Oryzias latipes: one gene and its partner. The protein of the gene in region 2 purifies or fractionates together with the protein of the main gene of each other region. This does not show direct contact. Links are inferred from orthologs where the notes say so. Each region holds a gene or a part of one and is shown on either strand. Other genes may lie near its edges.

The links. The genes of interacting proteins can lie anywhere in the genome.
Region 1: the proteins of tmprss6 (region 2) and hemojuvelin purify together in Homo sapiens (co-immunoprecipitation; 3 studies listed by IntAct). This does not show direct contact. The link is inferred for Oryzias latipes from reciprocal best matches to the Homo sapiens genes TMPRSS6 and HJV.

Annotation. Positions count from the first base shown.
Region 1 is NC_019874.2:31,647,173-31,650,857, reverse strand, and holds part of hemojuvelin, read left to right. Parts: coding exon 1-29; intron 30-1,817; coding exon 1,818-2,347; intron 2,348-3,375; coding exon 3,376-3,685. UniProt on the Homo sapiens protein: Acts as a bone morphogenetic protein (BMP) coreceptor. Through enhancement of BMP signaling regulates hepcidin (HAMP) expression and regulates iron homeostasis.
Region 2 is NC_019859.2:24,708,449-24,712,133, reverse strand, and holds part of tmprss6 (transmembrane protease serine 6), read right to left. Parts: intron 1,969-3,685; coding exon 1,826-1,968; intron 1,210-1,825; coding exon 1,142-1,209; intron 346-1,141; coding exon 164-345; intron 42-163; coding exon 1-41. UniProt on the Homo sapiens protein: Membrane-bound serine protease. Through the cleavage of cell surface hemojuvelin (HJV), a regulator of the expression of the iron absorption-regulating hormone hepicidin/HAMP, plays a role in iron homeostasis.

The DNA.
Region 1 (3,685 bases), on a different chromosome or scaffold from region 2:
ACTGATGGTTCAGATGAATTTGCCTGAAGGTATGAGAACCTCAGAGGTGGTAACTTGTGACGATGACCAATTGTTCAGAACCTATCAAACTGTTTTTCTGCTATTATTTTGTGACTGGATTGTCCACACCTTTTTGCACTGATTTTCTTAGTCCTCTGAATCTATTTTGACGCAGACATAACTGTTTTTTTCTGGAAATGCTAACACCGCTGCTCAAACTGCAACTCTGGTCTTAATTTGCAATCAATGAGCCCAGAAGAAGAGCTCTACAGCAGGGCTGTCAGAATCCAGGCCTTTGAGGGCCAGTGTCCAAAACTGTTTTCCAACCAATCTCCCACTGAAGCTCCTTATTGGCAGATAGGCGGGATTCCTGGAAAACCAGTAGAAGACCGGCCTTCGAGGCCTGGAGTTTGACCCCCCTGCTCCACAGGGATTACGTGTGGTCTGAGTCCTTTAAAAATTTAAATAAGCATTTAAGTGAAATTCAACTTGGAAACATGCCACACATGGTTAATGAGTGTTTTTAAACCAGCAACCTTTCATGAAAAAAGAAACCTCTTTTGTTATCCGTTAAGGCCTGTACACACCGGGCCGAATATTCGCCAGCCGTTATTCGCCAGCGTTTTTCAACACGTTTTTTGTGCTTACACCAAAGCGATTTTCGCTGACGATGAGCCGAGCAAACATGCAATTTCATTCCCTGACATTAGATGGCGCTTAATGTAAAACAGAAATACTCCTGTACACAAGGTGGCGCTGCGCAACTTTACGCTTCTTAAAGTCGCTTTTCACTCAGAAGAAGAGAGCAAGTATTTACGCGCTTGTCAGAATCCATCAAAGAAAACATGAATATTTCCAGCACCAGTTGCTCCAGCTCCAGTTCCAGCGATGAAGAAATTATTGTTCTGTAGATTGATGAAAGACGTCGATTTTGGGTACATCCCATAGTTACGAGAAGAGAAGAACATGGGGAGTTTTATCAACTGGTACAAGAGCTGAAAATGTATCATGAGCGTTTTCGGGGATATTTTAGAATGTCCGTCAGTGAGTGCATCTTCTTCGTCTTATTTCTTCGCGGCAGTGTAGCGTATATCTTCTTCGCCGTGACGTATGTGTGCTCAGCAAGACAGTTTTGTGTTTGAGCGCCCCCAAATTGTGTTTTACTGTAAACCAAACCAAAAAAACGAACCCGAGGCCTTTTTTTAAAAATGACGCTTTTATGTGTGGCGTTTTTCGCGTCAGTGTGAACACTCACATTGGTGCCCTTTGTTTAGTCACGAGGCGTTAAATGTCGGCGAATATCGCGCGCGAAATTCGCCTGTGTGTACGGGCCTTTAGTTTATTAAAACCTTTATTCTGACAATATCACTTCATCTCCTGACAGACTCCCTCTTCTGTAAAGAAACTCGATTACTACTTCACTTCATTCCTTGATTCAATGTGCAGAGCTGTTGTTTTCTTATAAAGCACAAGGATTTCTTTAATGCTGGGGTCAAACTGTAGTGAAATGGTTTTAGACTCAAAGAGCTGGAATGTCATGTGGACTTAATCATGGCGACCCGAGACTTGTTCTAGTTCACAGAGTCCTGACTTGGGTCCTGTCCGCCACTGGTGCGTGTCAGTGTCGGGTTCCTATGTCGGAGAGTCCTGTACTTATCTGTATTTTTAGTTTTCTGGGGGCTTCACTCTGTAGAAATTTGGGGAAACCGTAACGGCACATTCAGAAAAATTTGCATGCGCCCCTGGTTTGACATGAGTGGAAGAATGAAGGTCCTCAGACCCTGTTCAGATGAACTCTCTCTCTGATCTATTTTCAGTGGGATCCTCCTGCCATATCCTGAAGTGTAACTCAGACTTTGTGGCTGCAAAGTTGGACCTGGGGAGCAGCAGTAGTGGAGGGGCAGTAGGAGAAGCTCTGCCCAGCAGGGAGGCGGTGAATGCCGGTTACTGCAGCGCCCTGCGCTCCTACACGCTGTGCACCAAGCGGATGGCTCGGCCGTGCCGGGGTGACCTGGCATACCATGCTGCGGTGCAGGGCATTGAGGACCTGCTGATTCAGCATCGTTGCCCCCGGGTGGGGCCCACGGCCCAGCCACGGCCCCTACCTCAAGGCACGCTGTCAGGAAACACCTGTCTGTATGAGAGGAGCTTCTTTAACAGGAAGGGCCAAATGCCAGAGTACCTGCACTGCGCCATCTTTGGGGACCCCCATATTCGTACTTTTAACAACGAATTCCAGACATGTGCAGTACAGGGGGCGTGGCCTGTCATTGACAACGAGTACTTGTATGTGCAGGCAACCAGTTCACCAGCAAAGGAGGGGTTGTACCCCACAATCCTCACCAAGGTGAGCTCAAAGAGTGATGTTTGTTTTCAGAAAGCTTTTGTCAAACTCCACAGGATCTTCACTCTCTGCTGATGCCACAGGGGACTTCTGCTCCTCAGATCGTTTAGTGTCAGGTGTGCCAATCTCTTGCTGACAAATTTTTTATCTCCTGTTTTCTTCACTTTGGAAGCTCTGTTACACATTTAAAAACACAAGGAAGTCTTGGTTGAAGTTTCAGTTTTACTACTCGATGTCACTAAACATAGGCCTCAGACCCATCTGTCCTTGAAGGTGGATGTGACTGTCTGCAGGTGAAATTTCGTGCAGGGCACACAGGTGACTTGCACGAAATATCAAGGTCATAGACTGCTACTTCTACGGGCATGCTGCATGTGGGCCACAGGTCGTAGTGAACATGTACACAACACGTGAAAGTAAGGGGGAAGTAGGTGAAATGCAGGCGTGCTGTACTGACCTTATGTTTTTTAACACCCCCCCAGCCGTTAGTGCTGTCACATGATACATGTGCGCACCCTGCTGCAGCCTGACTGTTAGAAATGAGGAAATTGTGTGACGAGTTGGTCCTGATACCAGCACAGCGACTCGGTGGAGTGTCCACCCTGACGGTAGGGGATTGTGAGTTAGAATCCACAGTTGGGACCTAAAAAGGAAAACAAGGCTTTTCTGCCCTCACACTCAACAGAAATGGATTGAGGGTCAAAACAACCACGTGGTTCCTGAGCAGCAGTGCACCGCTTCCCCAGGGGAGGAGCCAGAACTAATTTCCCAAACTCATGTGTATGAGACAATAGAAGGACTTACCAATGTTGAGACTAAGCTGTGGGACACACCGTCCATATTCAAAAGTGTCATGTAAGCAGAAAAACAAGACTTTTTAGTCTGTGTCAAAACTGATCTATCAAGCTTTTTGATTTCAAAACCTTGTATAGTTAAACTCTCAGTGACTTGGTTCCACACATGTTTTATCGTCACACCTCCACAGATCACAGCAGAACTTCTCGTGTCTTTTGTCTTGTGTTTCCTGTCAGATCACCATAATCTTCAAGAACTGGCGCCAGTGCATTGACCAGCAGCTCTACCAGGCGGAACTGGATAACGTTCCCGCTGCCTTCGCTGACGGCTCTGTGTGGAGCGGCGAGCGGTGGGGTCACCGCAGTCTCTCGGTGCAGACGCAGAATCCCGGCCAGCACGCTGAGATCTGGGCGGCACACATTGCCACGCTGCTGGTGGTGCGCCAGAACGGCGGTTCTCTCAGCTTGTCTGTCCGGTCGCCCCGCAGCGTGGTGGAGGCCTTTGAGCCAGAGCATGACCTGCAGCTGTGTGTGTGGGGCTGTCCCG
Region 2 (3,685 bases):
AAAGGAAGCCTTTAAAAGAGCTATGACTTTGGGATCAGTTTCTGTGGGAATAGAACAAAGACACAAAAATATTTCCTGTAAAATAAAATAAAAAATTTCTGGTTTAAAAGCACTTGCTGTATCTCCATCATGCACCCTCCCACTAAAAATGTTTTTTTCTCACCACTGACAGACAGCGTGGGAAGGTGGAACAGAAAGCCATCAATGCTGCTTGTGTCTTCCGTTACTGATCGCTCTCTCAGGCCCTCCTCCAGGGTCCTTGTCACCTTCTCCACTGTGACTCCACCATCATGGCTCCTGGGTACGGACAGAACTATCCAGAAATGAGCCACCAGACTGCCCTGGCTTGAAGAAAAAAGGTCAATAATTCAAATAAAGCTGAATCTTGAACATGAATCTTGAACATCAAAATCTAATGGAACTGATTCTACAACTTTTCCTTCCCTCCTAAATTCAGTACTTTTCAAGTACTGAATTTATTTCTGTTTGACTCAATTGCTTTTCTGACTAATAAGCACAACTGCAAGCCTAGCTGCTTCAAATTGTTTATTTTTTCATTAGTATGGTCTGAAAAACCCAAACACATGCACTCAAGCTCAGAATATATATTTTTGCTGTGTTCCTTTTCGCCGTAAACCCTTAAAGGTTGCTGTGATTTGCTTCCTAGCAATTTAGATGCATTTTTGCATTGAAAATTGTCGTATAAAAATTTAATAATTGCAAAAATGTGTAAAAAATTTGAAAGAAAAGCAAGAATTTTCAGTCTTAGAATTGGGCTGCAATTTTCTCATGACTTTTTTTTGACAGTGTGATCACTGCTTCAAAGTGTAAAGAATTTTGCTAAAGTAACATAGATAAAACTGAACTAAAAATATATTATACAATCTAAATTACATTTCATAGTCCACACACTTGTTTGGGGTTTCAAATAAATATCCTAAGGATTATTTACCACCTCTTTAATAATAATAATTTGAAGAAAGATTAAAGAATTTTAAACTTTTCAATATTTTTTTTTACTGTTTGTGTCAAATTAATTTCATTTTTTTTGTGTTATCTTTCATATTTGTGTATACACTTTTGGTTTAATGTTTCACATTTGAAATACATTGTTTTTCATTTAATAAATTGCTTTACCTACCCAAAAGCAAAAACAGTGGTGTAGTTAAAGTATCGTGACAGACATGAAGCCTTCATTATATTCTTGACCTAAAAGACAGAAAAAAATAATGTTGTCTGATGTTTCAGTTTCTAAATTTCAAACAGATCTTAAAGTCTTTATTTCTTCCAATAAAAATAGAGATAATTCTTCTATGCTAAGAACAAACCCAATGGTTCACTGTTTTAATGCTAGTTTTGATTGGTATGAGGGAGTTTTTAGCATGATAACATTTCACCAACAGCAAATGAATCATAGCCTTAATGTCTTAAAGAAAAAGAGCACTATGATGTCACCACAGGAGGCACTCTCAATGTAGAAAGTTTGTACAAGGAGATTTTACAAATACACAACTGTTTCCTCATTTGGTCAATAACAAGATGGCAATGCCCTAAACTCCCACAGAACTGAGTCAATCACAGAATCTCTCCAGAATTTGAAAGAGTACTTTTTTTTTTTTGCATTTTTAGTGGAAAGTAGCCATGCAGCAATAACAGTTATACATTATGATTTCAATTTTTCTAGACACATGTCTGAGAGGATTTCCTTGCTTTATGAGATAAGATTAAGATCCATCAACAAACTTTTACATTTCTAAATCATTTCTGATTATCAGGTTCCTCTTGTGTCAGTCAGCATGAAGACATGTTGGATTTTGCTGCTCACCGTGTTTTGGATTCCCTTGGCTTCTCTTTTAAACACAGGACTGCTGTGAGAGGACAATTCAGTAGAAAAATTCTTGTTTAGGATGGTTAGATAGCCTGTGTACTGCTGCTCCACACAAGGTTCTAATGTCCAGACCCTGTACTCTGTCATGGATGTAGAAGAAACATGCCCATATTAATGAAGTAAGTCCACAATTGAATGCATGTCTTACTGTATTATTTCTGGGAGCAACTCTTGTGTTAGTTTAGTTTCTTACGTAAGTTTGCTAAAGACACTTCTATTGTTAATTTTATATTTCAGTGTTTCCTGTATTAACAACAAAATATTTTATATTTCTTAAAACTTTGGAGAATTTGAAGGAATTTAGGAAATTATGCATAGCTACAACTTAAAACAGATACTTCAAAAACAAACACACTTTGTAATCCATGCTTATCTATAGCTCTGTGTCCTGGTTAATTGCTTTGAAAGGAAAGAGTGGCAGAGAGTCAAAAACTAAATCAATACAACTAAATTTGTTTATGGTCTAAATGTTTTTTAAAACTCTCAAAACAAGTCAAGACATTTGCAAATGCTCCATAATTTTAATGCTTAAACAGTTTACTGATATATGCAAAGTTACATTTGCTTAATTTTATTTTGAGAAAGATAAACATTTACTGGACAGGCTACAAGCCAACACAGTACTCTGACTTTTTGTGGAGCAAAAGAAGTAGCTCTTGTGCCAGATGCACTAGAGGCAAAGCATTACAGAGGTAACACACCTGTTTTTAAAGACTCTGTTAGTACATCTTTGTGAAATGGTAAAATTGTAAATGGCGTATACTTATATAGCGCTTTTCTACCTACAAGGCCCAAAGCGCTTTACAGTCACAGACCTATTCACCCAGTCACACACACATTCACACACTGGTGGCGGCTCCGCTGCTAAACAAAGGCACCCGCCTACCACCAGAGGCAAGGTGGGGTTCAGTGTCTTGATCAAGGACACATCAACTCATGGGCATGCAAGGCATGTAGGAATTGAACCTGCAATCTTATGATCATGGGTAAACCGCCCTACCGCTGCACCACAACCAATGTTGTGAACGGCTTTGCAGTCATGTAAAAAATCTTAAATGAAAATGGGGGATTTTGGACTGGTTTTGTGCAATAAAGAATATTAAATAACCAAGTATTACTCTTATATACATTTATATGACCCACAGCAGGATTGCAAGGACCATATTATTTTTGCAATTTATCTGTCTCACTTTGCCTTCGAGCAATAATTTCACCCCCGCCATATGCTCAAAAACTTGCCAAATTCACCCAGTGAAAATGATTTCTTGACCTAGTGAATGAACCATAAAAAAAGGAATGGGGCAAAAATCTCCTATGGGGCTTAAAAAAATTTTTCTAAATACACTAATGTAGCAAAAACACACATGTCCAACATAACATATTCAAAGGAAGTTTTGAAATTATTATGGGATGGCCACAGGACCTACAGCTTGGGTGCTATTTTGCGCCAAAATGCGAAATTTGACATCTTTCCTCAACAAGAAAACTTGTTCCAGCGATCTTTACAAAATTCCTCACACACGCCACAAGCTTAAATATACAACCACAACTGTAGTTTCGTAGAGCTTCACCTCAGGAAGAGGCCGGCATCTTGAATGTTCCACAAAACAAATCACCCTTAGTACCAGCCACACTTTTTAAACTCCTCATAGGATTTATGATCTATCACCTCCTAAGTCCTAGAGCACATGTGTCAAACTCAAGGCCCAAATGTGGCCTTTATGTGGCCTGCAAGAGCATATAATTTTTTAACTTCTTGAAATAAAAAATAAAAATTGGTGTGTATTTATTTAGCCG